Canis lupus familiaris: one gene and its partners. The protein of the gene in region 2 purifies or fractionates together with the protein of the main gene of each other region. This does not show direct contact. Links are inferred from orthologs where the notes say so. Each region holds a gene or a part of one and is shown on either strand. Other genes may lie near its edges.

Evidence for each region.
Region 1: the proteins of HNRNPU (region 2) and SNW1 purify together in Homo sapiens (affinity purification with mass spectrometry; 3 studies listed by BioGRID and IntAct, with this or other methods). This does not show direct contact. The link is inferred for Canis lupus familiaris from reciprocal best matches to the Homo sapiens genes HNRNPU and SNW1.
Region 3: the proteins of HNRNPU (region 2) and DAP3 purify together in Homo sapiens (affinity purification with mass spectrometry; 3 studies listed by BioGRID and IntAct, with this or other methods). This does not show direct contact. The link is inferred for Canis lupus familiaris from reciprocal best matches to the Homo sapiens genes HNRNPU and DAP3.
Region 4: the proteins of HNRNPU (region 2) and RPL18 fractionate together in Homo sapiens (co-fractionation; 3 studies listed by BioGRID and IntAct, with this or other methods). This does not show direct contact. The link is inferred for Canis lupus familiaris from reciprocal best matches to the Homo sapiens genes HNRNPU and RPL18.
Region 5: the proteins of HNRNPU (region 2) and HNRNPAB purify together in Homo sapiens (affinity purification with mass spectrometry; 4 studies listed by BioGRID and IntAct, with this or other methods). This does not show direct contact. The link is inferred for Canis lupus familiaris from reciprocal best matches to the Homo sapiens genes HNRNPU and HNRNPAB.
Region 6: the proteins of HNRNPU (region 2) and KPNA2 purify together in Homo sapiens (affinity purification with mass spectrometry; 3 studies listed by BioGRID and IntAct, with this or other methods). This does not show direct contact. The link is inferred for Canis lupus familiaris from reciprocal best matches to the Homo sapiens genes HNRNPU and KPNA2.
Region 7: the proteins of HNRNPU (region 2) and ILF2 fractionate together in Homo sapiens (co-fractionation; 3 studies listed by BioGRID and IntAct, with this or other methods). This does not show direct contact. The link is inferred for Canis lupus familiaris from reciprocal best matches to the Homo sapiens genes HNRNPU and ILF2.

The regions. Positions count from the first base shown.
Region 1 is NC_049229.1:50,827,854-50,832,043, reverse strand, and holds the start of SNW1 (SNW domain-containing protein 1), read left to right. Parts: upstream 1-1,390; 5' UTR 1,391-1,534; coding exon 1,535-1,548; exon of another isoform or gene 1,549-2,020; intron 2,021-4,190. UniProt on the Homo sapiens protein: Involved in pre-mRNA splicing as component of the spliceosome. As a component of the minor spliceosome, involved in the splicing of U12-type introns in pre-mRNAs.
Region 2 is NC_049228.1:35,785,603-35,789,653, forward strand, and holds the start of HNRNPU (heterogeneous nuclear ribonucleoprotein U), read right to left. Parts: upstream 2,801-4,051; 5' UTR 2,562-2,800; coding exon 1,871-2,561; intron 976-1,870; coding exon 864-975; intron 780-863; coding exon 706-779; intron 1-705. UniProt on the Homo sapiens protein: DNA- and RNA-binding protein involved in several cellular processes such as nuclear chromatin organization, telomere-length regulation, transcription, mRNA alternative splicing and stability, Xist-mediated transcriptional silencing and mitotic cell progression.
Region 3 is NC_049228.1:42,030,533-42,034,699, forward strand, and holds the start of DAP3 (28S ribosomal protein S29, mitochondrial), read right to left. Parts: upstream 2,801-4,167; 5' UTR 2,639-2,800; intron 2,387-2,638; exon of another isoform or gene 2,103-2,386; intron 1-2,102. UniProt on the Homo sapiens protein: As a component of the mitochondrial small ribosomal subunit, it plays a role in the translation of mitochondrial mRNAs. Involved in mediating interferon-gamma-induced cell death. Displays GTPase activity in vitro.
Region 4 is NC_049222.1:108,362,322-108,366,424, forward strand, and holds the start of RPL18 (ribosomal protein L18), read left to right. Parts: upstream 1-1,303; 5' UTR 1,304-1,327; coding exon 1,328-1,330; intron 1,331-2,685; coding exon 2,686-2,772; intron 2,773-3,089; coding exon 3,090-3,197; intron 3,198-3,887; coding exon 3,888-3,986; intron 3,987-4,103.
Region 5 is NC_049232.1:3,625,291-3,629,314, forward strand, and holds the start of HNRNPAB (heterogeneous nuclear ribonucleoprotein A/B), read right to left. Parts: upstream 2,801-4,024; 5' UTR 2,607-2,800; intron 2,524-2,606; 5' UTR 2,501-2,523; coding exon 2,292-2,500; intron 1,568-2,291; coding exon 1,399-1,567; intron 731-1,398; coding exon 572-730; intron 392-571; coding exon 260-391; intron 259-259; exon of another isoform or gene 1-258. UniProt on the Homo sapiens protein: Binds single-stranded RNA. Has a high affinity for G-rich and U-rich regions of hnRNA. Also binds to APOB mRNA transcripts around the RNA editing site.
Region 6 is NC_049230.1:14,368,000-14,372,207, reverse strand, and holds the start of KPNA2 (importin subunit alpha-1), read right to left. Parts: upstream 2,801-4,208; 5' UTR 2,643-2,800; intron 2,256-2,642; exon of another isoform or gene 2,120-2,255; intron 1,344-2,119; 5' UTR 1,321-1,343; coding exon 1,246-1,320; intron 1,098-1,245; coding exon 960-1,097; intron 1-959.
Region 7 is NC_049228.1:43,390,676-43,394,680, reverse strand, and holds the start of ILF2 (interleukin enhancer-binding factor 2), read right to left. Parts: upstream 2,801-4,005; 5' UTR 2,692-2,800; coding exon 2,687-2,691; intron 2,449-2,686; coding exon 2,389-2,448; intron 2,297-2,388; coding exon 2,254-2,296; intron 1,914-2,253; coding exon 1,809-1,913; intron 1,531-1,808; coding exon 1,453-1,530; intron 505-1,452; coding exon 402-504; intron 1-401. UniProt on the Homo sapiens protein: Chromatin-interacting protein that forms a stable heterodimer with interleukin enhancer-binding factor 3/ILF3 and plays a role in several biological processes including transcription, innate immunity or cell growth.

The DNA of each region.
Region 1 (4,190 bases), on a different chromosome or scaffold from region 2:
TCAACCCAGTAACAATGAATATTTATTTGTAGCATCCAGATTGTTTTCTCTAAAATATCGCTTTCCCACTTAAAGGAGGGCTTCTTGGAGAAATGACTGATTCCAAGTCATTCCAAATGACTTGGAATCAGTATATCTAGAAAAGTACTAGATGAATCTACAACATCTTGTCACACCAGAAATTTGAGTCACCCTGGGTAGTGGATTCTGCTTCTGCTGCTCAAAGTAGGGTGTTTGGTTCAGGACAATTCAAAGAGCTGTACACTTACGGTGTATGCATCTTTCTCTATGTGTCCCATACTACAACTAAAAATTTGTTATCTACTTTTTGTCGTGGAAGATGTCAAACGTGTTAGTATAATAAACATCCAATTCCCCATTATCCAGCTTCAACGGTGATCAGAAATGGCTATTCCCATTTCATCTATACTCCACCCACTTCCCTCTCTCCAATATTTGTAAGCAAATTTCATTTATCCTATCAGTTTGTCAAAGATTATGGTTAGGGGCTCAGTCCGTCAAACCTCTGCCTTCACCGCAGGTCATGGTCCCAGGTTCCTGGGATCTAGCCCAAGATCCAGCCCAGTGTGGGGCTCCCTGCTCAGGGAGAAACCTGCTTTTCTCTCTCCCCCAGTACCCACCCCCTATCTTGCTAGTTCTCTCTCTCAAATAAATAAATAGAATCTTTAAAAAAAAAAAAAAAAAGATTATGTCTTGGGACGCCTAGGTGGTTCAGCGGGTTGAGCATCTGCCTTTGGCTCAGGGCGTGATCCTGGAGACCCGGGATCGAGTCCCAAGTCCGGCTCCCTGCGTGGAGCCTGCTTCTCCCTCTGCCTGTGTCTCTGCCTCTCACTCCATGTCTCTCATGAATAAATAAATAAAATCTTAAAAAAAGATTATGTCTAATCCATAATCTACGTTAAACACATCGTCTAAACACGCACATACATAAAAGCATACATAATACACAAAAGAAGTGCTGTAAAGGCAACTTACCGAGGATCACACCAGACCTCCCCAGGACAGTGTTTTGGGGGTGGGGTGTGGAGGTAGGGGGCAGAGTTCAAAGAAAAGTTTCGAGTGTGAGTATTTTTGGAGCGTTCCCAAACTCTCCCTTCGACAGTCTCCCGATTTCCCATTGTTTTAAAACCCTGTCACCCTTTTATTTAACGTTGCCATTCCCAGGATACTCTTCTTGTGTTGGGGATGACTACACGGGGAATGAGACTGAGTGGGGAATAAAATAAAGCGGTTTAAAAGGCACCTCACCTCCGTTATTTTGGAAGAATAGGGAACGCCCTATTCCGTCACAGGGTACCAGCGATGCATCTGCCTTAACTGAAGCCTTAGTCTCATGATAACCGCGCGGTCGGCTTAGGACAGAATCGCACTCTCTTGTCCAAAGAACTACGAATCCCAGAAGGCCGTTCGGCCGAGGCGCCTGCGCATCGCGTGCTCCTTCCTTTCCCCTCCTCGTCCAGGGGAAAGACCCGCCCCGCGGTGCTGTCGCTCGCGCTGGAAGAAGCGGAAGAAGATGGCGCTCACCAGGTGGGTTGTTGATGGGGGTCCTCGATACGGAAGGGTCTGGGAGTACCCACGTTTTTTATTTCTCTGCCCACTGTCTCCGGGCGGTGACCTGGCGCGGGGCACAGAGCGACATGGGCTGGGACCGCGGCTAGGCCCTCCTGCAGGCCTCCGGGGCGACTAGGCCTCACGGAAGCTGGGGTCTTTCCTCAGCGGTTTCCCGGGTCGAGTTCGTCCCCTCACGAGGGCCGAGAGCCTTGGCGCGACAAATAGTTCTCCGGCCTCGGATGCCAAGGAGTCGCATCCCGGGGTTGTGGAGAGCGCTCCGAGCGTCCGGTCCGCGCCTCGGGCGGGCGCGGTGGGGATGTGGAGGGCAGTGGCTTATTTGTCTGGACGAAGTGAAGCGGCGGGAGCCGACGAGCCGGCTTTACCGCCGTGTGTCTGCCGAAGTCTCGTCTGTGCCCCGAAACCAGGATTCCTGAAGAAAAAAAAAAAAAAAAAAAAGATGTGAGGTGAGGGGCCCGGCACCGAACACAGATCTTTTTTTTTTTTTTTAATTGGCCACTGTCTACTAGTAATGAGCCGCTGCTCCGCACTTTTAACTTTGGACCTTAGAATTTCTTACGTAGATAGAACCACTTCAGATTTTTGCTGTTCTCGGTTGCCTTGGTAACCGCGTGTAAAGTGGTCCCCGCCTTTGGGGGGGGGGGGGGAGAGAGATTCCGAGGAGTTACATAACTCCTGCTAGTCCGCGACCTGCTGCCCCATCTGAGAAGAAAAACTTCCCGTATGCGGACGCAAGCAGGAAAAGTTGAGTTGTCAAAGATGCCTGTGAGGGAAATCGTTTTTGGGACATCGGCTTGAGCTCCCTAAACATGCTTGATTCTCCTCACGCTTCTTTTTCCTGGCTGATGGCAGTTATGGATCCCACAAAACGTTTTAATCAGAAAGTTTTTGGGGGGGAATTAATTTTGGGTGCCTTGCTCTCTCTATATCCTAGGGCCTGTGTGTATACACACACACATACACACAAAAAGCCACCTAACAGTCTTTGCAGGGAAGGTAGGGTCCAAGGCATACAGATACGGAAGAAAGAACAGCACAGAATGCTCACTTGTGTGGTAGTAACCTTAAGTGCAAAAAGAATTAGACTGAATAAGTTGGATGAACTAAGGAGTTCAATTTAGTAAGCAGCAAACATTTGAGTGCGCCTCCAGGTGGGAGGCACTGTGGCAAAGATTCCCAGGGTTGTGAGGGAAGGTATTTGTGGAAAAGGACACAGGGAAAATAACAGATCTTGTGGGTTATTGTGGGCTTAAAATTGCAGCGGCAGAATGCAGTCCTTAAATGGCTAGTCTTGGAGGCTACATAGTTTTCTGATTTCAGTGAGCTCTGGTTGATTTGATTGCAGGTGAAGTGTTACCTTATCTCCAAGACCTACCAAGGATTACTTAACGGCAGGGACTTAACATATTGATGTGTTGCAGTATTGGTGTCACCAGTTATTGTGACTAACTAAAGATTTGAGGTCATACTGATTTAGTCCTCTAAATGCAACTGTATTTGGGGTTATGTATCTAATAATATTACTTGCATTTAATATGCTTTATTTGGTAAAGGGGAAAGGGTAGACCAAGGTGTCTCAACAGTGGGCAGTCCCCGTGGCTCAGCGGTTTAGCACCGCTCAGCCCAGGGCGTGATCCTGGAGACTTGGGATCAAGTCCCATGTCCCGCTCCCTGCATGGAGCCTGCTTCTCCCTCTGCCTGTCTCTCTCTCTCTCTCTCTGTCTGTCTTGAATAAATAAAATCTTAAAAAAAATAAAAATAAAAGATGTCTCAACAGTGGCACTGTTGAGGTTTTGGACTGGATGATTCATTCTGGTGTGGGGCTGTCCTGTGTATAGTAGTAGGATGTTTAGCAGCATCTTTGGCCTCTATACATTAGATGCCAGAGGCACCTCCCTCCCCTTCACCCATTCCCTATCCCCTAAGTCTTGACAATCATGTCTCCAGACATTATCAAATACCTACATTGTAGTTATTTTGCCACCCAGTTGAGAACCACTGAGGTAGACTTTCTGCTTACATATACAGCCCACAGCCCACTATGTACCCCTTTCCCCTATCCTGCCACCACAGGAGTGTGCCTCTTGTGGGAATGTCATCTTTTACAAGGAAAAGCAAAATTAAGACCCTCTGGAAGGCTAGAGTATGTTCAGACCCTAATCCAGGCCAAGTTACTTGTTTACTGTATCGTCTGGACCCTTTGATTTGGCAGGCTGCCTGCCTTTGGATCATCTTAGTAATCAGTTCTTACAGCAGAAGGTAAAGAATAGAGAAAATAATAAGTATTTTGGCTTCTTTACACTATCTTTGTATCCTTCCTATGAATTGGGTATATGAGTTATACTGAATAGAATTATGGTAAAAGCCCAAAACTTTTGACTCCAGTCCTCCATCCATTCATTCATCATTCAACAAATACTTGTTGAAGATCTACCATGTGCCAGACACTGTGCTGGTTTTACAGTATTAAATCAGTGCTGGTTTTACAGTATTAAATCAGTCTGGCAAACTCCTTTATTTTCGAAGAGCTTACAGTCTAGGAAAGGCAAACTACTTATCTATCTGTATGTAAACAAATCAATAATGCAATATCAGGTAGT
Region 2 (4,051 bases):
GAGGTTTGCAATACTTCCTCATACTCAATTGCAACCCAACTGGGTAAAGTAGCAGTATTTACAGCGCTGCCATTGATACCATTCGCTGCTGAAGAAAGCTAGTAGCCCAGTGATAGCCCACTGCTGCTGCCCCAGGTCTTTGGAAGAAATCAACTTATGTTAAAGCAGCAGCTACTGAACTGGAATTGAGAACAAAAGAGCAGTTATTGAAAAAGTAATATTACAATCTTTTAGAATAGGGAATATACTTGTGTGCTAATGGGAAAAAATCATTAATACGTATTTAACTAGCCCAAATAGCTCACTTAATAAAATGCTACCAAAAAAATTAAATTACTTTATCGTAGGAGCCTAAAAGGACAAGTTACAGGTTGTCTTACAAGTTTCCATTAGCTAACTAAACCAAAAATTGCCATTAATTTTACATTCCTATAAATGAGAACTTTCTAATCATATAAAAAATAACACCAAATTGCTGGAGCCTATAAAATTATCAATACGACACAATTGATGCTGTATTAGACATTTAGCTACCAGAATCTGAATAAAACCTTTCGTCTCCCTCCTTTAAAAAAGGTAAACGGTTTACGCTAAGTATTCTGCATTTAAATTCAGCACACTGCGTTTAAGTTCTCTAACATTTTGGCACCAAAATCGCCACATTTAGTAACCGGGGGAGAAAAGGGAAGAAACAGCTTCACTTACAAGTATCAAGACAAACCACTGTGTCATCGAAGTGCTCATCTTCTTCTTCAACAGGTGGCTGAGGAGATTTGGCTCTGAAAGACAGAATTGTCTCCTGATTCAGCTTTTCCTACCCCAGAAAGAACGGGGACGGGTAAAACTAGATCGGCATCCTCTACCTGCTATACTTGTTCTCTTCAATGTACTCAAAATATCCACGGCCATGATCTTCTCGAGGTCTTTTCACCCCTCTCTTTTTATCTCCGCCCTTCTGCTCTGTTTTGCCGTCTCCTATAACACACAACACCCCTAACATAAGGGGCCAAGCCGCGACGCAACCGGGGAAAAAGAAAAAAAAATCCCCCCTCCTGTTTGGGGAACGCAAATACTCCTAACTCCCCCGTTCTTTTCTGCAAGCGATTTCAACCGACGAATCCAACGCGAATTCAAAGAACAATCAGCTTGGAACCGGCCAGGAGCTAGTGACGCAGTCTAAAGACATTCCTAATTTTGCCAGCCTCTTCGAAGATTCGAGAAAGCTCCCGGAGCCCAGGGCGGCCCCGGCCCCGAGCCCACGTGGATCCCGGAGAGAGTTCAGGAAGGGGGGAGGGGCCGCGCCGGCCCGCGCGCCCGCCCCTCCCCTCCTCCCCTCCCCCACCCGGGCCCGCGTTCCCCGCGGCCGCATTGTACTGATCTTCCGCCCCGCTCTCCCCGCCCGGCCCCTCCCGCCGGAAGTGACGTCACGCCGAGCCCCTGCGCTCCTTGCACAATACCGCGGCCCAGCGCCGCCAAAGCGCGCCCGCCCCGGGCCCTCGGGCCTCTCTTCTCCCCTCCCCCCCCCGAGACATGTGCCCGCACCGCGCGCACGCAGCGCAGCGGCGCCACCGCGGGCCGACCGGGCTCCCGCCCGCCGCCCGCGGCTCCTCCCCCTCCAGCGGCAGCTGCAGCTACCACCCCCACCCCCCGGCCCTCCAGCCACATAATGGAGGCGCCGCCGCCGTCGCACACGCCGAGCCCGAGGCCGCCGAGGCCTCGCGGCCGGGCGGGATTCCCCGCGCCCCCTCCCCCCCGCCTCCCCCGCGGCGGCCCCCGCCCCCTCCCCCCCGCGGGGCTCCGGCAGGCCTGGGGCACGGTCCCCACCCCGCGCGGGCCTCCCGCCGCGCGCAACGTACAACGCAGCACTCACCCGCCGCCGGAGCCCCGGGGCGACCGCCGCCTCCGCCGCCTTCCGCCTTCTTCTTACCTCCCGCCTGCTGCTGGCCCTGCCTCGCCCCGGGCGGCGCCACCGTCACCGCGAACAGCGAGGTGGGGCCGCTGCTCTTCCCCGCGGCCTCCTTGGCGGCCCCGCGCTGCTGTGGCGGCTGCTGTTGCGGCGTCGCCGGCGGTTGAGGCTGCTGCTCCCCGTGCCCGTTCTCGTCGCCCGCGCCTTCCTCCTCGTCGCCGAGCTCATCCTCCCCTTCCTGGAAGCCCTGATCGTCGCCGTTCTCGTCCTCCGAGGCGGCCTCCTCCTCCTCCATCGGGCCCGCGTCGGCCGCCCCCGCGGCCCCGTTCTCCTCTCCTAGCTCCATCTGGTCGCCATCCAGGGCGGCGATCCCTTCCTCCTCCTCTTCCTCCTCCTCCTCCTCCTCGTCGCCGCCGGCCGCGGCCTCCTGCTCGAGGCCTGCTCCCGAGCGCCCGGCGGAATCCCCGCCCAGGTCTAGGCTGCCGTTCCCGGGCTCCATGGCGGGGCGGCCCCCGGCCTCCTCGTCGTCCAGCGCGGCCTGGAGGCGCTCCATGAGCTCGGCCTTGAGGCCCTTGTCGGAAAGGCGCCGCTTCTTGAGCTCCTCTTTCAGCTCCGAGACCTTCAGCTTTTTTACATTAACAGGCGAGGAACTCATGGTGAGGGCCCCGATTCACCGCTAGGCGCTGGCTCAAACTCGGCTCCGCTCCCTCGGCCACTGGTGGCGGCTGCTGCGGCTGCTCCTCGGCCCGGGCGGCGGCTGCGGCTGCGGCTAGAGGTGGGTTCGTGCTGCAGAGCGGACCCGCCTGGTGTCGAACGGCGCCAATTCCTTTCACCGAGTTCGCGAGGGAGACGCGGAGACTCGCCTGGCGCGAGCGAGCACGCAACGTCCTCTCGCAGGGGCGGCGCCGCGCACGTAATATAGGCGCCCCGCCCCCTGCGCTGACGGGAGCTCCGCTGCGGGGGGGAGCGCGCCCGCGCCGCGGGGCCCCGCCCCCGCGCCCCGCCCCCGCCCCCGCCCGCCCGCCCGCCCTGCCCTCCCCGCCCCCACGCCCAACCCGCCGAGAGCGCGGCGCCGGCCGCGCAGTGCGCTTCCCGCGGGGCCGAGCTGGGGGAGGAGGGGGGCCGCCTTTCGGTTACAGCGATCCGCCGCAGCCGGGCGGCCTCCCGAGCTGGGTGCTGGCGGCCCTCGCCTCGCTCTCGGCCCCCGGGCGCGGGGCTGCTGCACCCAGAGCCCGGCGGCCCCGGCCCCGGCCCCGGCCCCGGCCCGGCGGCTTCCGCCCGAGCCCTCGGCCTTGCTTCCATCTTGGATGGGCCTGCCTCTTTCTCTCGCTCGCCAGCCCGCTGCTTAAAACGCCTCGAAATCTTATTTCCGTGTTGATGTGTACGGCACGGACGGGCAGGCCCTGCCCGCGGGGGGTGCCTTCCGTCTCGCATTTGGTGGAATGTTCCCAGGCCCTGCCCTGCGCCCTGGATTTTAGGCTCGGGAAGGGCGAGGACAGAGCATCCCTTTTGTCTCTTCCCCAGCCCGGATGGCAGGGCTGGTCCGGCCGCCCCGGGGCGGGAGAGCGGGGCGAGCCTCGGAGGGGCACGTCCGCCCGCCCAGACGGCCCCCCGCGAGCTCACGCCCCCGGATCGTGCCCTCCGCCGCCTCTCCCCCCCCCCCCCCCCGCAGGAACACCCCCCATAAGTCGTGCTGAAGCCAGTAAGAGCTCAGGACGAGTCAAAGGGCCGGGATTTTCTAAGAAAGAAAAAAGAGACAATCGGCTCCCGAAATCTGTTGTGTATTTGGGTGTGTTTTAGAAGTTTGATTTTTCCCTTTTCCCAAATAAAAGGCATGTTAGGTTCTTGAGGTTGCGCACAGGGGGCCAGCACTTAGATACGTGATAGAGGGGCGCATGCGACACCCCCAAGAAAGCCTGCACAGTGACTAGACAACGTCCCACTATCAGAGAGCTCAGTCCTACCCACTGTGTGGTGCTGGAGCTGGAGTAGTGCTGCCCCGAATGTTAACTTGAAACTGGAGCAATACTAGCAGAGGCCAGTATGATTTAACCGTTGAATGCATTTTATTTTTTCAAGTTTCTTCTCCATAGCTTCCAAGAACCATGTGTTTTACCACTCAGTCGTCATAAAGATGAAATACAT
Region 3 (4,167 bases), about 6.2 Mb from region 2:
AAGGCAGCTTAGCAAAGACTGCTGCAATACAGCAGGACCAGAGAACCCAGCTGTCTATTTACAGCTTGAGGACTCATGCCAGAAGCATAGCAGCAGGAAAATACAGGAAATCCAGGCAGCTTGGTTGAGTGTGGATCACTTTGCTTGGGGCAAACTTTCAGATGAACCACATCCTCATTTGAATTACAGCACTGGGGTGCCAGGGTTGCTTAGTCTGCTAAGCATCAGACTCTAGATTTCTGCTCAGGTCATGATTTCAGGGTCCTGGCATCAAGCCTCGCATCCAATTCCACATTCAGCGCGAGTCTGCTTGTCCCACTCCCTTTGCTCATTCCCTCCCATCCCCCCTGCTCATGCGCTGTCTCATAAATAAATAAAATCCTAAAATAAAACAAACTCTTGAATTAAAACACAAAACCACAATCCAAAGCAGGTATTCTGGAGGTCAATCATGATTTGGCTCCTCTTTCTGCATTAGTTTTCAGCTGCTGTGACAAATTACTACAAACTTAGTGGCATAAAACTACACAAATTTGTCATCTCAGAGTTCTGTAGTTGAACAAAATCAAGGTGTATATGTTTGGTTGTGTTCTTTCTGGATGCTCTAGTAGAGAACCTGGTTTTCTGACTTTTGCAGCTTTTAGAGGCTGCTCTTTCATCTTCAAAGCCTGCAACAGCTGGTCAAGGCTTTGTCACATAGCAGCATTCAGATGTTGACTCTTCTCCCTCTTCCATCTTTTCACAGCTCTTGTACTTACAGTGGGCCTACCACATAATCCAGGATAATCTCCCTATTTTAAGGTTAGCTGATTAGCAAATTTAATTCCAACTGCATCCTTAATTCCCTCTTGCCATGTAATATAACATATGCCCAGGCTCCAGGGACTGGGCCACGGGCATCTTTGGGGGACCATTATTCTGCCTTCCATACCTTTCCTGGTTCAAGTAATTCAGGTTTCATTCATTAGAAAAGGTCACTTTACTGAGACTTAATAGGCACTGAAGCTTATACAAAAGAACAGGGTACTATCTTGTGTATACTTAGGCGACAATTCAGGAAAGCCAGATGAAGGCAGGGACCACAAGCAAGTAACTTTCTTCTCTTTATATACTGGTGCAATGGAATCCCATTAAGTGGCTTTTCTTTGTAACATATATAATTATGTTGGTGATGACAAATTTTTACTATGAAGACAATGCGATACAGTGAAAAAGGTTTTTAGGACAGGTAAAGCAAAATGTAAAGATGTTACTGGACTTCTCTGAGCCTCAGGCTTCTCATGTATAAAACGGGGATTAGGATGATCTATCTCAAAGTGTCATTCTAAGAATCAAGCAGGAATGTGTGTTCTCCAGACATAGCATTCCACAAACGTTAATTCTCTCTCCCTTCTTAGATTTTAAGTATCTAACATTCTTTCAACATTTCCACCATTCACTTTGCATTAGGGCTATACAACCATACAAAAGAAGTGCTAGATCTAGTCCCTGCCGTCAAATTAAAAATGTTGGTAGGGTATCACATTTGCGTATCTGACACCATTAAAGAAAGACCCAAAGCAAACCTAAGTGGGCTCCATGAACGAACTGAGACTTAAGACACGGGTAGGGGGGATCCCTGGGTGGCTCAGTGATTTAGCGCCTGCCTTTGGCCCAGGGCGCGATCCTGGAGTCCCGGGATCGGGTCCCACGTCAGGCTCCCGGCATGGAGCCTGCTTCTCCCTCTGCCTGTGTCTCTGCCTCTCTCTCTCTCTATGTCTATCCTGAATAAATAAATAAATCTTTAAAAAAAAAAAAAAAAAAGACACGGGTAGGAAAAGCAAAGACAGAGTGAGGTCATTAAAGCTCTTTACCTTAAGAAAACAAAGCAAGCAAACAAAACCTGATCAAACATGGAAATGTAGAATGGGGGGAAATGTCTGCTTAAACTTCAGAGCTTGAATAAGGCTTTGAGGTCAATCTAGTAGACTGATTTTCAAAGTGTCCCCTCGACTCTTAGAAGTTCGCAGAAGCAAAGGAAAGGGAAACCCTCCGGATGAAACGAAACAGACTGAATTAGGCAGACTTTGGGTTTTGACAGTCCATAAGTCTCCTGAACTTACTCATTAAGAACACTGGGGTGTTCGTGCAGAATTCTGAGACAGCTGGGCCAGGAGCCGCAGAAACCTGACAGGCCTCGGGTCAGCACGGTTTTGTGGACCAGCTGGGGGGCAGGACACGCGCCACAACCGGAGCCACACAGCCGACCCGCATCGCCCAAGCTGGGAACGCGCACTCGGCTCTGCCTTCAGTGCCTCGTGTCCGACTGAACAACTCCAACTCGTGTCAACATCAACTCCGAAGGCCGCTTTCGGGTCGACCAATTTTGATGCCTATTTTTTCGTTCCTTTTTGATACACAACCAAGAAAAACCCACTTTCTGAAGGGCACGCAAGACCGGGGAGATAGGAGCCCAGCTACAAAGACTCCTGCTTCCAAGCTGCCCGAGGCGGTGAGGGTGCAACATCCACCCCAGGGGAACGCGCGCGACCCCCTCGGGCGGGGAAGCCTGGGTAGGTTGGGCGGCACGCAGCTGTAAGCGGCGCCCCCTCGGTCCCAGCTCCGAGGACGGCCGCCGGCCCCGGGCGCCTCTGCCTACCTCGCGGGGGCTCGGTCCCGCCGTCCCTGAAGCCTTCCCCGCGAGGTGCGCGCCGGGGTCGCAGGGTTGCTCTCCGCACCGTACTCCTCACGGCGTGCCGGCCGCTCCCCGAGCTCCCCGCAGAAGACCGCCGAGCGCGGGCTGTAGGGCAGGAAGCTGCTTACCGCGCAGCCGCCGCGGCCTCCAACCGCCCGCCCGCGGAGGGGAGCAGGGCCGCCCTCGACGATCCCCACGCGGCCAGGCTGCGCAGCGAGAAAGCGAGCCTGGGCGGCGCGGAGTGGCGGCCGCGGAGGTGAGTCGTGTGGACCTCTGGCCGCCCCTCGGCAGCCCCAGCCGTCAGCACAGCTCCACCGCGGCCCGGGTCTCCCCCCTCGCGCTCCCGCGGCGGCGGGAATGGAACGGTCCGGCGGGGGGGATTGTGGGAGGCGCACGCGCGAGGGGCGGAGGGCATGTGGGGGGGCGGCGGCGGCGGCGGCGGCTGTGGCGGCGGTTGGTGGCCGTGGGGGCGGGGAAGGGGGGGAGGAAAGAAGAGGCGGTGGAGGAGGAGGAGGCCGGGGCTCGCGCCGCCGAAGGTATGCGTGAGGGCCCGCGCCCGGCTGTCCTGACAGGGGCCGCGGGGGAACTGGGGGCCGTGCGGGCGGGCGGGCCAGGCGGCCGAAGGCGGGGGCCGGGGCAGAGCGAGCGGCGAGCCGGGAGACTGTCCGGCGTGTGCGGGCGGGCGGGCGCGCGCCGCCGCCCGAGTCGGGGGCGGGGGGGGCCGCGGGGGGGGCGCGGGGAGGGCCTGGTGGGAGGTGGGGGGGCACGAGGCGCCCTTCGCTCGCGCCCGCCCTCCCTCCCGAGCAGCAGCCGCCGCCGCCGCCGCTCTGCCGCCGCCGCTCCCGCCGCCATTTTGGGTTCGCTTTGCGGAGGGGGAGACGATCCCCGTCTTGGTTGCGGGACCGCCTCCCCTCGGTGGCCCTTGCTCGGCCGCATGCCGTTCTCTTCTCCTCGCTCGCCTTTCCGCCGGTCCGTGCACCCGCGGGCCGCCTTCTGACAGGCGGCAGGGATCGGCCGCCGACCCGGGGACGCGGAGGAGCCTGCTGGCGGCCGCCCCCCTTCCCCACTTCCCTGCACTCTCCTCTCGTTCGGCCGCGGCCTCTGACACGGTGAGCATAACCGCCCGCCAAGGCTTCGGGCCTAAGTGCTCCGGGAGCCGGGCGAGCCTCAGCGGCCCGGGAGCCACTGTCAGCTCCCGGACCTGGACCTCTCCGGGGAGCGGCGGCGGGGTGGGGGAGGGGAGGAGGCGAGGGGATCCTGCGCGGACCGGGAAGTCCCTCCCGGCGAGGGGGAAGGGGTGCCCCTGGTGGGCGGGCTCCCGACCCGGGGAGGGGGCGGGAAAGTCGGGAGCGGAGGCGGAGTCGCCCCGGCCCCTGACAGGTCGGCTGGCGCGTCGCGGAGGCGCGGCGGGAGCATCCCCCCCATCCCACGGCCGCGCAGAGTGGCCCAGGAGGTGGGCTTGGGGTGGGGGTGCTTGACCCGGCACTCTCGGC
Region 4 (4,103 bases), on a different chromosome or scaffold from region 2:
CTCTGAGGAAGGAGAAAAGAGGGGACAGGTCAGCTTCGTCACTGCCCTGGCCAGTCCATCTGGTCCTACCCAAGAAGGGCTAAAACAACAGGAGCGGAGGCTACCTTGTTTTGAGCACTTTATGTGCAAAGCATTGTTCAAAGCACCCTTACTAACTTATGTAATGCTGGAAAACAAGTGTCAAGCCTGTTATCCCCTTTTGGCAGATAAGGAAAGTAAGGCACACAGAGATTAAATGACTTGCCCAAGGTCACGCTCTTGTTAGTAATTAGCATGGCCGGATTTGGGATCTGGATACAGCTGACAAGACCCCCATCTCACCATCTTTCTATGTCAGAGCGTATCACCCGAATCTCCAGGTTCCCTCTCTTTCTAGGTCTCCCTGTCATGCCCTGGGTCTCCATCGCCGGCGGGGGTTGGGGGGGCATCCCTCGCGTCTCTGTCCACTCCCGCTCTGGGCCTCCAGTCCTCCTTCCCTCTGAATCTTTATCCCCCAAGTCTTCCCTTCTCTTTCAGGAGGCTTTTACCCATTCCCTCTCCACCCCCATACCCCAAGGCTGGGGCTTCGGTGTGCCTCCTCCGCATTCCAGTACCGTGTAAAGCCCTCACATGGAGCCCGCGGGGCCACTCGAATCTCCTGCAGGGAAAAGCGGCCCCCAAGGGGTAGAGGCTGAGGCGGGGCTCAGAAAATGGGCAAGGGGAGGAGAGGAATATAAAAATTGGAAATACAGGATGCTATAGACTGGGCTGCAGCAAGAAGATCTCGGGTTAGATCTCAAGTAGGACTTCCCGAGCTACGGCGGCGCCTGGGAAGCACCGCGCGAGATAAGAGAGGTGAGCCCGATAAGGAAACGCCTGAAGCGTGGGGTTAGTGGTTTCCCGAGGTCCTGACAGGCCCCGCCAGCTCCGCCTCCTCACCTCCAATACTCGGCCCGCCGGGTCCTCCAAGGAGCCACAGAGAGGCCGTCGGCGTCGGGCCAGAGCGTCACCGTGCGACGCGACCTCCTAGCGCCGCACATCTCTCTCGCTGCCAATTCCCTTTCTTCCGGAAGACTATCGAGAACTAGGAAGGGCCAGAGAGGCCCCCGACGTGGTCGCCGCCCCTCCACCCTTGACGCAGCGCTTGTTCTCCGTGGGTGGTGGTTCGTCCACTTATTCCGGAATCGCCCATTCGACGCTCTGCGATTCGCCATAGAGAGGCCCGACTCGAGTAGAGCGCCGCGTCGCGCCCGCGTGACGTCACACAAGCGCCCCTCGCTGAAGGCTTTCCCCGCCCCCTTCGGCACTGTTCTCTCTTTCCGGACCTGGCTGAGCAGGAGGCGCCATCATGGTGAGCGTGCTTTGAGGCGCTCCGGGCTCGATTATCCGCCGCCATCCGCCGCGGTTTTGGGCTGGGGGAGTGCTGGAGGGGAGCAGGGATGTCGGGGGGGTTCGAAGGGGGCGACTCCCGCAGTGAGGGGACTGTTTTGGTGGATTCGAAGACCAAGGGTGGGTTAGTTCTATCAGCCTCTGGCCACTCTCGTCCCCTTTTATTATTCTAGTTCCAGTTGAGCAGATAACCCAATTGAAGTGCAAGGAAGTTAAACGTTGTGACCGGGGCCGCGTTGCACATTGCGTTCTTCGCCACATTGCAAAGAAGTGGCAGACCCGGGATTCGGACCCGGGTGCTAACCTCACGTCCGCGCTTGGTCTCTTAATCTTTGCCGCCCCTACCTGGACCTGTCACTCCCCTGACCTGGAACCTTGGGTTCTGGGGGTGAGGGAGGTCTCCACCGTCCGATGCCCGGCTTTTGCGGCCAGGCGGACCTCTGAAGTCTCAGCTCCCTGTCCAGCCTTCAGTCTTGGCTTTCCCCGCCTGTAACCCCAGTTTCTTGGTCTGTGCATTGGGAACACAGTAATCATGCGTCACAGACGCGAGTTTGGGAAGAACCTGTAGGAGCTACACATTGGAGATTCTTGGATACTGAAGTGCTGGAGGAAAGGAGCTACGAATAGTCTAGTAGCTCTACAGCGCCTGACAGGGCCTGTTAAGGAATCTCAGGACAGCAGCCGGAAGTGGTGGAAGTTGTGGCTTCCTTCAGTTTTCTTAGCTGAAGTGGGCAAACTTGTCTCCTCGGGCTGTTGGATTCAAGAAGCTAGTGCATGGAAGATTCTAGTACTGGTTCTGTGTGGAGTAAGTTCCTAACAAAGGTTCTTTGCTGTATTATTAGGTAGAGTCTGCCCTTGGGTCATGTTCTTGAAAAATACCACTTTTGGGGGATGCCTGGGTGGCTCAGTTGGTTAATCATCTGCCTTTGGCTCAGGTCGTGATGCTGGGGTCCTTGGATGGAGCCCCAGGTTGAGCCCCATCAGGGCTCCCTCCTCAGTGGGGAGTCTGCTTCTCTCTTGTGCTCTTTCTTTGTCAAATAACATTTTTTTAAAAAAATACAGCTTCTGAAGAATTAAAATTTGTTAGTGGATGTAAGTCCTTTAAAGCTTTTTAAGATGCCATGTGCTGAAGGTTTTGTGTGTGGATTTAATACTTTTCTTATGTTGGGGTTGTTGGAATCCCAGGTCTTCTAAGGGTGGACTTGGGATTTGTTGTCTCTTCAACAAATGAGGCCCTCTCTCTTCCTCAGAGAGGAAGAGTTCTGGGGGTGAGCTGCCAGAGAGAGTTGGGCCCACGGTCTATTCTTATCTCTGCAGGGAGTCGACATCCGCCACAACAAGGACCGAAAGGTTCGGCGCAAGGAGCCCAAGAGCCAGGACATCTACCTGAGACTGTTGGTTAAGGTGAGGTTGAGGCCGGAGCCCCTTAGGTGCCACCTAGAACTGCAGCTTCTAGAACCTCCTTTCTAGTATCAGGCTTCTCCAGGGGCCTGCAGGGCAGGCTCCTGTCTGTGGTTCTGCCCAGGGCTCCTGGAGTTTCAGTGTCCTCAGCCTCAGGGCTTATACAGCTGGGGAGTGGGGAGGGGAATTGGGGGGGCTAGGGGATGGGAAGCCATAAAAACCTTGGCAGCCCAAACCGGTTTTTTGTTAAGTTGAAGGTTGGAAGAATGGTGGGGGCTACCTACCCTGGGTTCCTATTCTGACTTTTCTCTGACCTACAGCTGTACAGGTTTCTGGCCAGACGAACCAACTCTACCTTTAACCAGGTTGTGTTGAAGAGGTTGTTCATGAGTCGCACCAACCGGCCACCTCTGTCCCTTTCCCGGATGGTGAGGAGCTGATTCCGTGGGTGACTGGATTGTGTCTTAGAGCCTAGCTTGGGGCAAGGTTGCGGGGGCTCAGAGCCTGGCCATCAGCTGGTTTCCTTCATCCCTTGGTGTGTGCAGAGCTCCAACCCTTGACCCTGGGGCTTATAGTTAAACAGCAGTGGGGGGATCTCTGGGTGGCGCAGCGGTTTGGCGCCTGCCTTTGGCCCAGGGCGCGATCCTGGAGATCCGGGATCGAATCCCACATCAGGCTCCCGGTGCATGGAGCCTGCTTCTCTCTCTGCCTCTCTCTCTCTCTCACTCTCTCTCTGTGACTATCATAAATGAATAAAAAATTAAAAAATTAAAAAAAAAAAACAGCAGTGGGTATTTGAGCAACTTGGGCTCATCTTGTCGTCGTGAAGTTGGGGTGGTTGTAGTGGCTTCAGGTGGCCTGCTGTCACATGACACTGGTCTCAGGTGTCATAAGCTCTCCTGAAGGAGAGATCTGTTGAAAGGTCTGCATTTTGTCTCTGGTGTTTTTCCCGCCTGGACTGGAGGTTCAGCCTATGCTGATTGAAAAGCTTGTGGCATGGGTGGGTTCAACCCCTTTGGGGCCCAGCTGTCTCAGGCCTTGGGATGCCTGAAGCAATGAGGTTGGAGTGAAATGCCAGAAGGAACTTCCCTTAATGTGGAATTATCCTTCTCCCAAAGATCCGGAAGATGAAACTGCCTGGCCGGGAAAACAAAACAGCTGTGGTTGTAGGAACCATAACGGATGATGTGCGTGTCCAGGAGGTGCCCAAGCTGAAGGTATGTGGAGGGGGCTCAGGAGTGTGGTGGGTGGGCCAGAGCCCAGACTCGCAGTAGAGTCTGCTGACCTGGCTCACTGCTGATGACCTCTGTCAGAGTGCCTTGAGGCTTGTGATG
Region 5 (4,024 bases), on a different chromosome or scaffold from region 2:
GGCTACTCAACATGCTCCATCCCATACAAACCACCCTTTCTCCTGCCTCCCACACATCCTGGGTTTCTGCCAATGCCACCAGCCTAGGGACTCCCTGAAGGACAGGACCATCTGCCCCAATCAGGACAGCAGACACTGCAAAAAAAAAAATAACAGTAGGGTCAAACTGCCCTGGAGAGGGAGCCCAACTCCTAACCCACACCTGTGAGAGCCAGCTCTCCAGCAGCAGGAGGCCAAAATACAGAGTTGGATACCTCACCTTACTTCCACTGATGGTATGGAACTTTTTCTCCAGAACCTTCTTCACAGGTTCTTCTTCTTTAAAGGTGATGAAGACAAAACCTCGTCTTTTGTTCGACTTTGGATCCATTGGAAGCTCAATGGCCTCAATCTGTAAATATATGCAAAGCTCAGAACCAATAATGCCTCTTCCTACCTAGCCCCCAGGACCCGTAGGGATCTCCAAGGAGAAAAGACCCTAGGAAGGCCTTGCTGACGAGGGCAATGGCCAGCCAAGGGAGAAAGCAAGCTCAAGGCAACTGGCAAGTCACTCCCAAAGTCACACACTCACCTCCCCAAACTCGCCAAAGTATTCTCTGATCTTCTCCTCAGTGGCTTCAGGATTCAGACCCCCTACAAAAATTTTCTTTACCGGATCCTTTTTCATGGCCATGGCCTTTTTGGGGTCAATGACACGGCCATCCAGCCTGTGTTCCTTCTGGTCTAGAACCTGTCCCAACAGAAGAAAACCAAGTTTTAACTCAGCAGCACCACCCTCACCAAGGCCCTTCCTTGAGCCACACAGGCCCCAACACTGGTACACAAACTTGTTCATCCCCTCCAAACTACCCTCAATCTGACTTAGCAACCGAACTTCATCTAACTTCAAGTACAGCTCTTTTATCTGAATACCTACAGCCCACCCCGGCCCCCACCAGCTTTCCCAGGAGCAGCAGTTTAAAGCTGGTCTCTCAAAAGTAAAGAAACGGTGATGAAGAGTCCAGGCTGAGGGTGGGCTGCTCGGTTGGAAACCACCCCTTTCTGGTGTATAAACTCTTCTACTTACACTTCTGAGTATTTTCTGTAAAATGAGACTAAAATAATGCCTACTCCACAGCAACTCTAGACTCCTTATTCTAGTGCTCATAAAACAATGGCTTTATCAGTGCCAGTGTAGGCATCAAACACCAATTAAACTCTTCCTGCACGACCTGAGTCCATACCTACTACCCACCCCTTAATCTGTATTTTTAATCCCTTCAAAAACAGTTAAGTTCCTCACCTGTTTTTCCCCAAAGCTCAACCACCTACAGAACACACCAACTAATCATGCTCAGAATGGTATCAGTATTCTCTTAGAATGAACTTAAGACCACTGACATCAAATATCCTGCTTACCTTCTCCACACTGGCTGCATCTTTGAAGAGGATAAACCCAAACCCTCTTGACCGGCCAGTGTTTGGATCCATTTTTATGGTACAGTCAACGACCTCTCCAAATTTGGTAAAATAATCCTTTAGGTCCTTTTTGCTGGTATCCCAGCTCAGGCCTCCAACGAACATTTTTCTGAAATGGTAAAGACACGTGCCAGCCCTTCCTGGGTACAGGTTCTAAGCAAAGTCGCCATCTAGCACACAGATCTACCCTGAGTCCCCCAGGGTCCTACATTTGGAAGGCGTCAACAAATCCCACCCTCCCAAACAACCTTGACCCTAGAGCAGCTTCAGACTCGGTGGCCCCCGACGGGGCAAGGGGGCCAAGGGCACTCTGGCCCGGGCACCTATCGGCCCTTAACGCACGGAGGGAGCCATGTGCCGAACAAGCACGTCTCTCCAGCGGCCGTCGTCCCTGCCCCTCCAGGCCACCCCCGAGAACTCGCTCTTAAGGAACTCGAGGCTTCCGGGGGCCGGAGACCGCGTTCAGACCGTGACTCCGCCCCCGGGGAGGGGGGGAACGGGGAGGCCGCGAGGCCGCGGCCGGGGCGCGCGCCAACTCCGCCCACGCAGCCCCGCCGAACCCCAGGCCGGCCCGGCCCCGGGTCCGAGCGCACTGCCCTTTCCGGGCCGCCCGCCCGCCCCCGGCCCAGCGCGAGCGGCCCCGGGGCGGCGCCAAAGCCGACCCAACAAACTCCTGCAAACTCCGGCGCGAACGGCGAGCCCGCGAGCGGAGGGGCCGGGCGGCGGGCAGCCAGCAGGCCCCGGCCGCCCGCCCCTCCCCCCGCCGCGTGGCGCCAACAAAAGGCGGCCCCGGAACAAAGGCGGCGCCCCGGTCGGCCCGCGGCCGCACCTACCCCGCGTCCTCCTCGTTCTTGCTGGCATTGATCTGGTCGCCCTCGGCGCCGTTCTGGTTGCCGGCCGGGGGCGCCGCGCTCCCGCCTCCGGCGCCCGTCGCGGCCCCGGTGCCGGACCCCGCCGGCGACTCGCCTTCGGGGGCGGCCTCGTGTCCGTTCTCGGTGGCGCCCGTCGTCTCCATGGGCTGCTCCTCACCCGCTTCCGACATGCTAGGCCGAGGCGCGGCAGCTCCTGCAACGAGCGGCCCCGGCGCGTCAGGCCCGCGCGGCTCCCGCCCCGGCTCCCGCCCGCCGCCCGCGGGCCCGGCCGCTCACCTCGCCGCCGATGACGCCGCGGGGCCCGCTCGTCCCCACCCGCCGGGAAGGCGCCGCGGGCTCGGCCGCGCTCACGCCTGCGCTGCCGGGCCTAGCCTCCGCCGCCAACGGAGCCGCCGCGACCTCGCGCCCTCCGCCGCCGCCGCCGCCGCCGCCGCGCCGCACAGACGCACCGACCGACAAGCTCACTCGGGCCCGCGCGGTGCCGCCGCCTGACAATGCCGACTCGTGGCGCTCTTTATAATGCCGGGGCCGGGCCCACCTCGCAACAAGGCGCGTGCTCATTGGTTTCGCTCGCCCGTCACTCAAACGCGCGCTAGCGCCCCATTGGCCGCAGCGGCGCGCGTACGCGAAATCCGGGCGGGCTTTGTCCTCACTTTAGAACCCGCGCGAGCGGCGCCCGCGGAGGTCGGCCGGGCCGGGCGCGACCCCAGCCCTGCCGCGAGCCGCCGGGCCCGGGACCCCCGCGGCCGAGGGCGCCGGCGGCCGACCCCTCCGCGGCCTGAGGCCGCAGGCTCTCGTCGCGGGGCGCCCCAGCCCGGCACCGCTAGCTTCGCCCACCGCTTTCCCAAAAGAGGAAGCGGGGCTCTAAGAAGTCTGGCAAGCCCCGATCGTCCGGCTGCAAGCGGGGGAACGCGGGCGGCCGAGACGGGGCGCGCGGCGCCCCCCAAGGCCAGCGGCAGGGCTCCCCCTCGACCTTGGTGCCCTCGCGGCCCAGCGCTCCCGCTCTTTCTGCCGCCGCCCTCGGGCCAGAAGCGGAGAGGGGGTGGAGCCCGCTGGCGTCGGGGCCGCTGGGGCCGCTGGGGCCGCTGGTTCTCGGCGGATGTGGCGGGAGACGCTGTGGGGCCGGGGTGTTCCCCGATCCTGGGGCGTCCGGCATCACCTAGGCGATTAGCGTCGTTTTCACGCTGGAGGTTCACATTTCCCATTCGACTTCATTCACTTATTTCTGCTGAAATTTCTCTTTAAAAAGAAAAATAAACCATTTCCCTGAAATCATGAAGATGGTAGGTGGGGAGGAGTGGTTCTTTTTTCCTAATACACCAAACCCCTTAATCTGAGCTGCTTGACCACCACGCTTGAAAGGCCTGCGTTAATCCCTTGATTCCTTATAATCATATGGGTGCCGGGGCCCCAAATGGACCAGGATTACCAGAGAGCAACAGAACCTAAGTAGCTGGCATTTCCCGCTGAGTTCCTGCAGCCAGGCCTAGTGTGGGGGTCTGGGGGTTCTGTTTCTCACCTGGTCTTCTAACAACCCAATGGAAGGTGATACCATCACAAATTTATCAGTGAGAAAACTGAAGCCCGGAGTGTGGACCCAAGGCTCGCTCCCTAATAATCCAGCTAGCCAGTAGTTGCCAGGGAGAATGAAAAATGTAACAGTTCCACATTCAGAAAAAATAATCAACTCCAGA
Region 6 (4,208 bases), on a different chromosome or scaffold from region 2:
ATATTGTGTTAGCATTTACTCTCCATTTTTAGTGCACATCTGGGATGCTATGGGAATTCTAAAAAGGAGACATTTTTCCTGCTAGGCTGACCAAGGAGTGCTGTAAGAAGATGGGATTTGAATATAGTACTCTAGAAATAACACATAGGTATTAACTATTCAGTGAAAAACAATTTTTTGAACTACTAAAGGTTCTCAGTATCTTTGAAAGATACAAAAAGATAAATCTGAAAACCTAAGATTGATCTAATTAAAAAAAAAAAACTTCAAAGAATATGGATTTAAAACTACCAAAATTTTTAACAGAGAAAGAACAGGTCTAAAGCAGTATTTTTAAGACTATGTTTAGGTAAATAGTATGTGGCACAGAATGAAGGGAAAGATAAATTAGAAGACCATCTAAAATAGTTCAGGAGGGAAAAGATCTGAACAAAGCTGGTGACAAATACAAAAAATAGGGAACATCCAAAGAAGCCAGAAAGTGACTAGTTCTAGACACACGAACTTTCTGTTAACACAGGAATGGCCAGTCAAGGTCCTGAACTGGTGGCTAGAAATGCAGGGAAATCTGAAGGGAGTTCAGAGCTAAAGGAGACTTCAGAATCTGTTTCAGTACATTACGGAGACCAGGAAAGAAGACAACCCAACAGAATTACTGACTGGGAGAAAAAAAAAAAAAAAAAGATCATTAACAGAGTTGACAATTAAAACCATTAGGCTAGGAACATTATTTAAGTTTCTTCCTTTCTTTCTTTAAGTAGGCTCCGTGCCCAGTGTGGAGCCCAATGTGGGGCTCAATCTCACAATGCTGAGATCAAGACCTGAGGTGAAATATGAAATAAAGAGTCAGATGCCTAAGCGACTGAGCCACCCAGGGACTCCTTGCTTAAATTTCTAAGAAAAGCACCATATTGATTTTGTGGGTTTGCCAGAATTCACAATCTAAAATATATATTTACCTGGTTGTTGCGGTTTTCCTGCAGTGGAGAGGTAGCGTCATCAGGAAATGAGCTTACATTTCTCCTTTTCAGCATCTGGTCATCCTTCTTCGCTTTCCTCAGCTCCACATTAACTTCTATTCGGCGCCGCCTCATTTCCTTGGAAGAAGATAAACCACTTCACCCACTATATCAATTTTTGTGGCTAAGTGAGAATATTTATTTCAAATTTCCTCAAAGTTCTGATCACTTCCCAAATATCTTTCCATTTAAAAAATAGCACAGGAAAGCAACAGAAGATACTCACCGTACTGTCTTTCCCCTTGTTCTTGAATCTGTTAAGGCGGGCAGCTGGTGAATTAGCATTCTCGTTGGTGGACATGGTTATGAGACAAAGGAAGAAAGCTGTAAGATGGAGGAAGAGAAAGAAATTTCCCATTTATCATTTTGCTTTGTCAATAAGAAGAGCATTAATAGAATTACCAAGCATATACTGGACCCACACTTGTATAGTAGAGGACTAACTTCCTTTTTCAGCACTATGAAATACTGAACTGGCCCAACAGTATTAGTCCCCTCCTCTCCGAAAGGCTGAGACTTCCTGGAACAGTGCTGTCCATCAGAAAGAGAAAGCAAGCTGCATAAATTGAAAATTCCTGGTAACTACATTTTTTCAAAAACGCAAAAAGAAACGGGAGAAATGAATTTCAAATCTATTCCCTCCGGCCCAACACGTCCGCTATACTCTCCTTTCCACATGTTCTCCTATTTCGAGCTAGATAGATTTTACACTTTTCATACTAATACTCGGAGATCATGTGCGTACTTGGGGCTTACAGCACAGCTCAATCCGGGCTAGCCACATCGGTTTGAGGACTCACACACCACACTGGACGGTGCAGCTGGGACCAACTGAACACAGAGTGGGGCAAACTGAGCTCACAGTTAAAACCGACGTCCTAACGGGCCACAAATCCATATTCCGGAGGCTCTCCCAATGGCCCAAACAGGTCCATTCTCCACACTTGAAAGTTAAAGGAGTATGTGGCACATCATCGCGTTACGGAGGCTTCCATAACCCTGCGTGTCAACACCGAGACCTCGAGACCCAATTCTGCATCCTCAGCACCCGGCAAACATTTTCATTCCCAAGAAACGCTCTCAGTTAGGCGGCTACTAACCCCGCTTCCTTCAAACAGAGCTCTTTCAGAGCGATCGCCAAGGGAGGACAAAAGTACAAGTCCTCCTGGCAATGTGCGGTCTTCCATTCCGTGATGTTCCCTGCCGACGCTGTGTCACAGCCGGGCCTGGGCCTACGTGTTAAGAGACGGTTCTTCCAACTGCCACCGCCCCCCCGCCCCGTCTCCAAGCCCTTCCCCTGCCCCCCACCCGGGAAGATGCAGCGGGGAACGGGCGGAGGCGGGGCCAGAGGGGACAGCGCCGCCCGGGCCTCGGCGATCTTCTGGGCCGCGACGCGCCGCAGCTCCCGCCGCGGTCCGCAGAGCCTCAGCGGCCCCCAAACCCAAGCAATCGCACCGCGACACGGCCGCCTCCTCAACGAACGACGCCCCCAGGCCTCGTCAACGACGGAGGCCACAGCCAGGTCGGGCGTGGAATCCGGGCCTCCCCTCCCGCCACCACAAGCGGGGCGCGGCCTGCCAGCCTGCCGCTGCCGCTCGGGCCGGGCCCTGGCCTCAGTCGTACCTCCACGGCCGGCTCAGGCTTCCACGGGAGGCGGTGCGGGGCGCGCAGGCCGCGGGTCAGCTGCCCTCAAAACGTCCACCGCGGATCAGCCCAGAGACGGTGTGGCTCGTGCTGCCGGCCGGCGCGATTTAAATTTCCCGGTGTCCCCGCATTCCGATTGGCTGGTTCGAGCCTACGCTGCGCTCCCATTGGCGGATTTGAAAAACACGTTGATTTGGGGGGGTCATGGGGCTAAGAAGGAGAGAAGAGAGCATCGCGAGATATGGGAGAGGCCAGGCAATCCCAGAGCGCTTTGCAGGTGGATGAAGAAAGACTCCAGATCCCGGCGTGCAGCGGGCCAGTGCGCTGGACTTTGGCCTCAATCTAGGGGCTCTGCGGGGGGTTCATGCTAGTGAGGTTGCTCCCAGGTCGTTTGCCTGGGCAGCTGCTTTAACCCAAACACCACAACTGATTTCCAAAATAATGCTCTTTAAAATTCTTGAAAGAGAGGAGGTGGGTAAAAAAAGAAAAAAAATTTGATATAGAAACATATTGCTATGAGGTTTTTCCTTGATGGGACACAGTAGGAACTTGGCAGGGGTTTCTGGCCACTATGGAGGGAAAGGATAAGGCAGGTTTGGGCTGCATTTTTTAGTTTTTATTTTTTTAACGTGAGTTAGAAAAGACTGCATAGAAGCCACAAACATGGAAACAGAAGGTTTCTTAAGCCTATTTCTCCAGTCTTTTACTTTTAAATAATTTCAAATACAATAAATAAATAAATAAATAAATAAATAAATAAATAAATAAATAAATAAATAAATTCAAATACAGAAGAATTGCAAATCCATTCCCAGATTGGCCAAATATTAACATTTTGCCACATTTGCTATTTCTCTATGTACACATGCACACACACACATATGTGAGTAAAAGTAATATGTAAAAGCCACGTATACATTTCTGAGCCAATTGTAAGCATTTCAGAAATTATGTCCCTTAACCACTAAATACTTCATTTTGTATCTTCTAGTAACATTCTTTTATATGACTACACCACAGTTATCAAATTCAGGACAAATGAACTTTTTTTGGTTTTGTTTTAGGATTTTTTTTTTAAGTAATCTCTACACCCATCATGAGGCTCAAACTCATGACCCAAGATCAAGAGTGGCATGCTCTACCAACTGAGCCAGTGAGGGATCCCAACACAACTGAATTTTGATGCTATCATGTATTATGTAGTGTGTTCAAGTTCTGACAATTGTTCCAATATGTTCTATGCTGTATTTTACACTTCTCTGAATAAAATATTTGCATTTTCTTGCATCACAAATGGTTACAGAGCATCAGAATTAAAGACCTTTTTGTTTGTGCAATTTTTCTGCATTCTAAAAAGGGCATTTTTAGAAATGTTGTATTGGCTTATTTATTTTACTATAAAGAAATTCAAACATTGAACTTTATCCATTCTTGCAGGCATTTTTGCCAGCCTCATTCATTGTGTAGCAGCCATGCGCTTCATTAGCAGTTGATTCTACGCCTCCCAATTCAATCAGTATGATCCCATCCCCCTAAGTGCAAAAT
Region 7 (4,005 bases), about 7.6 Mb from region 2:
CCTCCTAGACCCACACCCTTATTTTTTATAGTACGGTTTCTCATCAATGGCACAAATGCCACTTGGGGCTGGATAATTCTTTGAGGGCTGAAGGGCAGAATATGTCCTATGCACTGTAGGATGCTTAGCATCATCCCTGATCTCTAATTCCTTTATTGCCAGTAGCCCAAACTGTGTCTAGACACTGCCAAATAGTCCATGGAAGAAAAAAATCACCAATTGAGAAACACTACCCTTTAGTAACAGCCATACATTCTTTCAGACACACAGTCCAGACCTTGTCCCTTATTACCCCAACACACGTTAAAAAATGACCTTTCTCACAAGAAATTTGGGCTTTGAAGACACCTATGCCTCAAACTCAACTTTCTGCTCCTGTGGCCAGAAAGAGATGCACTCACATGTTGGCAGAATCTTTAGGATTACCACCAGGTCAGCCACATTGTGTCCTGTAGTCATTGTTCCTTTTTTATAGGATCCCACCTGTCGCACTTCTTCAATTTGCTGTTGGAAAAGGGATTGGGAGATGCAGAAGTGAAAAAGACTATCTAGAGGGGCCTGGGTGGCTCAGTCAGTTAAATGTCTGAGTCTGACTTTGGCTCCAGTAGTGGTCTTGGGGTCCTGGGATCAGTCAGGCTCCCGGCTCAGCAGGGATTCTGCTTGTCCCTCTTCCTTTGCCCCCCCCCCCGCCCAATCCACACGTGCTTACTCTCAAATAAGTAATAAAACCTTAAAATTAATAAAGGACTGCCTAGTTCTTCTCAGAACTCAATTACAACACAATTATTACCCAGGTTTATTTTATTTTTTTTAAATGTTTATTTATTTATGATAGTCACAGAGAGAGAAAGAGACACAGGCAGAGGGAGAAGCAGGCTCCATGCACCGGAAGCCCGATGTGGGATTCGATCCCGGGTCTCCAGGATCGCGCCCTGGGCCAAAGGCAGGCGCCAAACCCCTGCGCCACCCAGGGATCCCATTACCCAGGTTTAGAAGTAGCAGAAGTCAAATCATAAAATAACCACATGGAGATGCCTGGGTGGCTCAGTGGTTTAGCCTCTGCCTGTGGCTCAGGGCAAGATCCCAGGGTCCTAGGATCCAGTCTCACATCAGGCTCCCTGCAGGGACCCTGCTTCTCCCTCTGCCTGTGTCTCTGCCTCTCTCTCTCTCTCTCTGATTGATAGATAGATAAATAAAATCTTTAAAATAATCTATCAACCGATCAATCAATCTACCCCATGAAGAGCCTAATACACGGCTAGCTGATAACACTGATACAAGTCTTGTCCCCAAGATCACCACCACAAAGGGATCCCACTGTACTTTCCTTCCCATCTTAGGCTTGGCTTTGGCGAATAAGTAACTGAAGACTTAAGAGACAGGAGGAGCGAAGGAAACACTACCCACACCACTAAGGCTGCCCTTTCCAATGATTAAATCACTAAAACTCACCACTTCGAATGTCCCTGGAGCCACAATCAAATTGTCAATCACATTGTTGATTTTTGTCACCAGAGAAAGGATAGATGCCTGAAAAACAGCAGGAAACAAAGATACCCTAAAGTGAAAAATTATAAGCAACTTCTCAGAGTTGGGGTATTTTTCCATAACTTTTTGACCTAAAGACGCATCCCTGAATAAAAACATAAATGCACATGGAATCTGTTGATATAATCTTGTGACACTCTCCCTGTACCCACAGTGAGAAATGAGATCAGCTGAGCCTCTGCGGAGTATAGGCTCTGGTAACAGCAACCTGGGTGGGAGGTTTTTAGAGAAATCTCAGGGAGAAAGCCCAAGAAGTAGACCTGTTCAGCAGAATTAGGAGCAAGGTCCTGATTCCTCTTCAGCAAGGCCTCACTGAACGAAGTTTCGTCAGGCGCTGGCTTGACCCGGGGGAAAGCCATCTCACACTAAGGCACAAAGAAACGACATGCTATTTACAAAAAATACTTGTTTTTACTCGTTAAGGTACTCAAACCAGAGTACTTGCTGGAAGGACCAGCCATCGTTTAAGTTCTCATTGCGCTACAGAAACAGATACACCAAAGAGGGCATTCATCATCCAGAGCAGAGACCACAGTCCTGTTAGCGCCCACAGGAGCCCCGTGAGCACACGGGCTTTGCAGGCGACCCGAAACCCTGCTGCTTCCTGCCGGCCCGAGCTCCCCGTGAACCCCGCGCACCCGCGGCGAGGCACGGGGTTCCAGGGCACTCGAGGTCAACGAGGGTCAAAAGGAGCTAGTTACTCACCAGATAGAAATCAAATGGAATATGTGGCACAAACGGCCGGAACCTGAAAGAGGAAAAGGGATCCCCGTTACTCCTCAGCCAACTCTCACCGCGAGCGGTGCCTCTGGCTGGCGGGCACTGGGGACCGGCACTCACCCGCCTCCTGGGCCTCCTCGGGACCCGAAGCGCCCGCCGCGCCCTCGTCCTCGGTCACCCCTAGGAAGGCAGACATTCCCGGAGGTCTTCGCTGCGTCCAAGGCACCGCCACCGCGCCGAGCTCCCCGCTCCCAGGGCCCGGGCTCCAACCGCGCGTCCGGGGGACGTACACCCCGGGATTCCCGGAGCCGTCGCCCCAGGTCAAGGCCAGTCCGCCCGCCGCCCGGCCCCCGGCCCCCGGCCTGCCCAATCCTCGGCCCCTGGGCTCCGCCCGCCGCCTTCCCGCCCCGGCCCTTACCTCATGGCGCCCTAAGCCCCGAACAATGGAAGCCACCCTAACCGCCCCTCGCCTCGGAGGAGCAGACACCAGAGACGCGGCTGGCCGGAGCGTCCCAACAAACTCTGGCCCGATTGGCCCCCGCTCTACGCCGCCGCTAACGCCCATTGGCTTATTTTCGCAGACCGGCCTGCAAGCCAATAAGAAGCGCCTGCTGTGTCAGAAATTAGCCAATAAGAACAGATTTCACAGTAACAACCTTTTTTTTTTTTTTTAAGGCAGGCACTAGGTGGCGCGGTGCAAAAATGACTGGACAGAGCTTCGTCTAGGATGCTGAGAGGCTAACGACACCAGTAGCAGAGTGGCGCAGCGGAAGCGTGCTGGGCCCATAACCCAGAGGTCGATGGATCGAAACCATCCTCTGCTATAAGGTGTTACATCTTTTCCTTGGGTGCTGCACGTACTTTTAGTGCTTATAATCACCTTTTCCTCCCTCAAAAATGCAGCCTTTAGAACCGTTTTTGCCAAAATGCAGTGAAGGGGATGGGAAGGGACTTCAGGCAACGCTACACGCCTGGGCGGGGCTCACCGAAGGCGGGAACCTGAGGCAAGAGAAGCTGATCAGACTCCTATCAGACGGAAAGCCCTGATGACAACGGGTTAGACTAGAGGAGAAACCGAGGCAGCCTTTGAAAGACCCTTCAGGGGCACCTGGGTGGCTCAAGGTGTGATGTCGGGGGTCCTTATATGTATTCCCGCATCAAGCTCCTTGCCTGGAGCCTGCTTCTCCCTCTGCCTGTGTCTCTGCCTCTCTCTGTGTGTCTCTCATGAATAAATAAAATCTTAAAAAAAAAAAAAAAAAAGTTCAGAAAAAGCGCTGAGGGGAGGCTGCAGAGGAGGAGGAACCCGAGTCGCCTGGGGAAGGTCTCGCTCCCCCAGGTTCCCCTCCCTCCGCGACCCCCAGGGCACCTGCCCCCCACCCCCGCCAGGTGGCTCCGAGCGCGCATAGGCAGGCGCTCTTTCTCCCGCCCCCGAGTCGCGGGCAGCCGGTCCCTCCCGGGTCCTTTCTCTCCGGCTTCTCCCCTTCTGCACCGGATACGTTTACTTCACTGCCCGCACGTTTTCTACTTTCAGCAGAGATTTGCGGTCTGTGTGCTTCCCCGCTGGTGGACAGTGTAGGGAGGACTCCGCTGCAGCCCCAGGGTCACACGCGGTGGCTGCTGGGTCACCCACTCAGAGACGGCCAAGCAACATGCAGCACCGCAAGCTTTTCCTCTACTTTAACTGAGTGATGGGCTCCGCCGCGCAACCATCACCCAGGTGAGGACAAAGGACTTGTG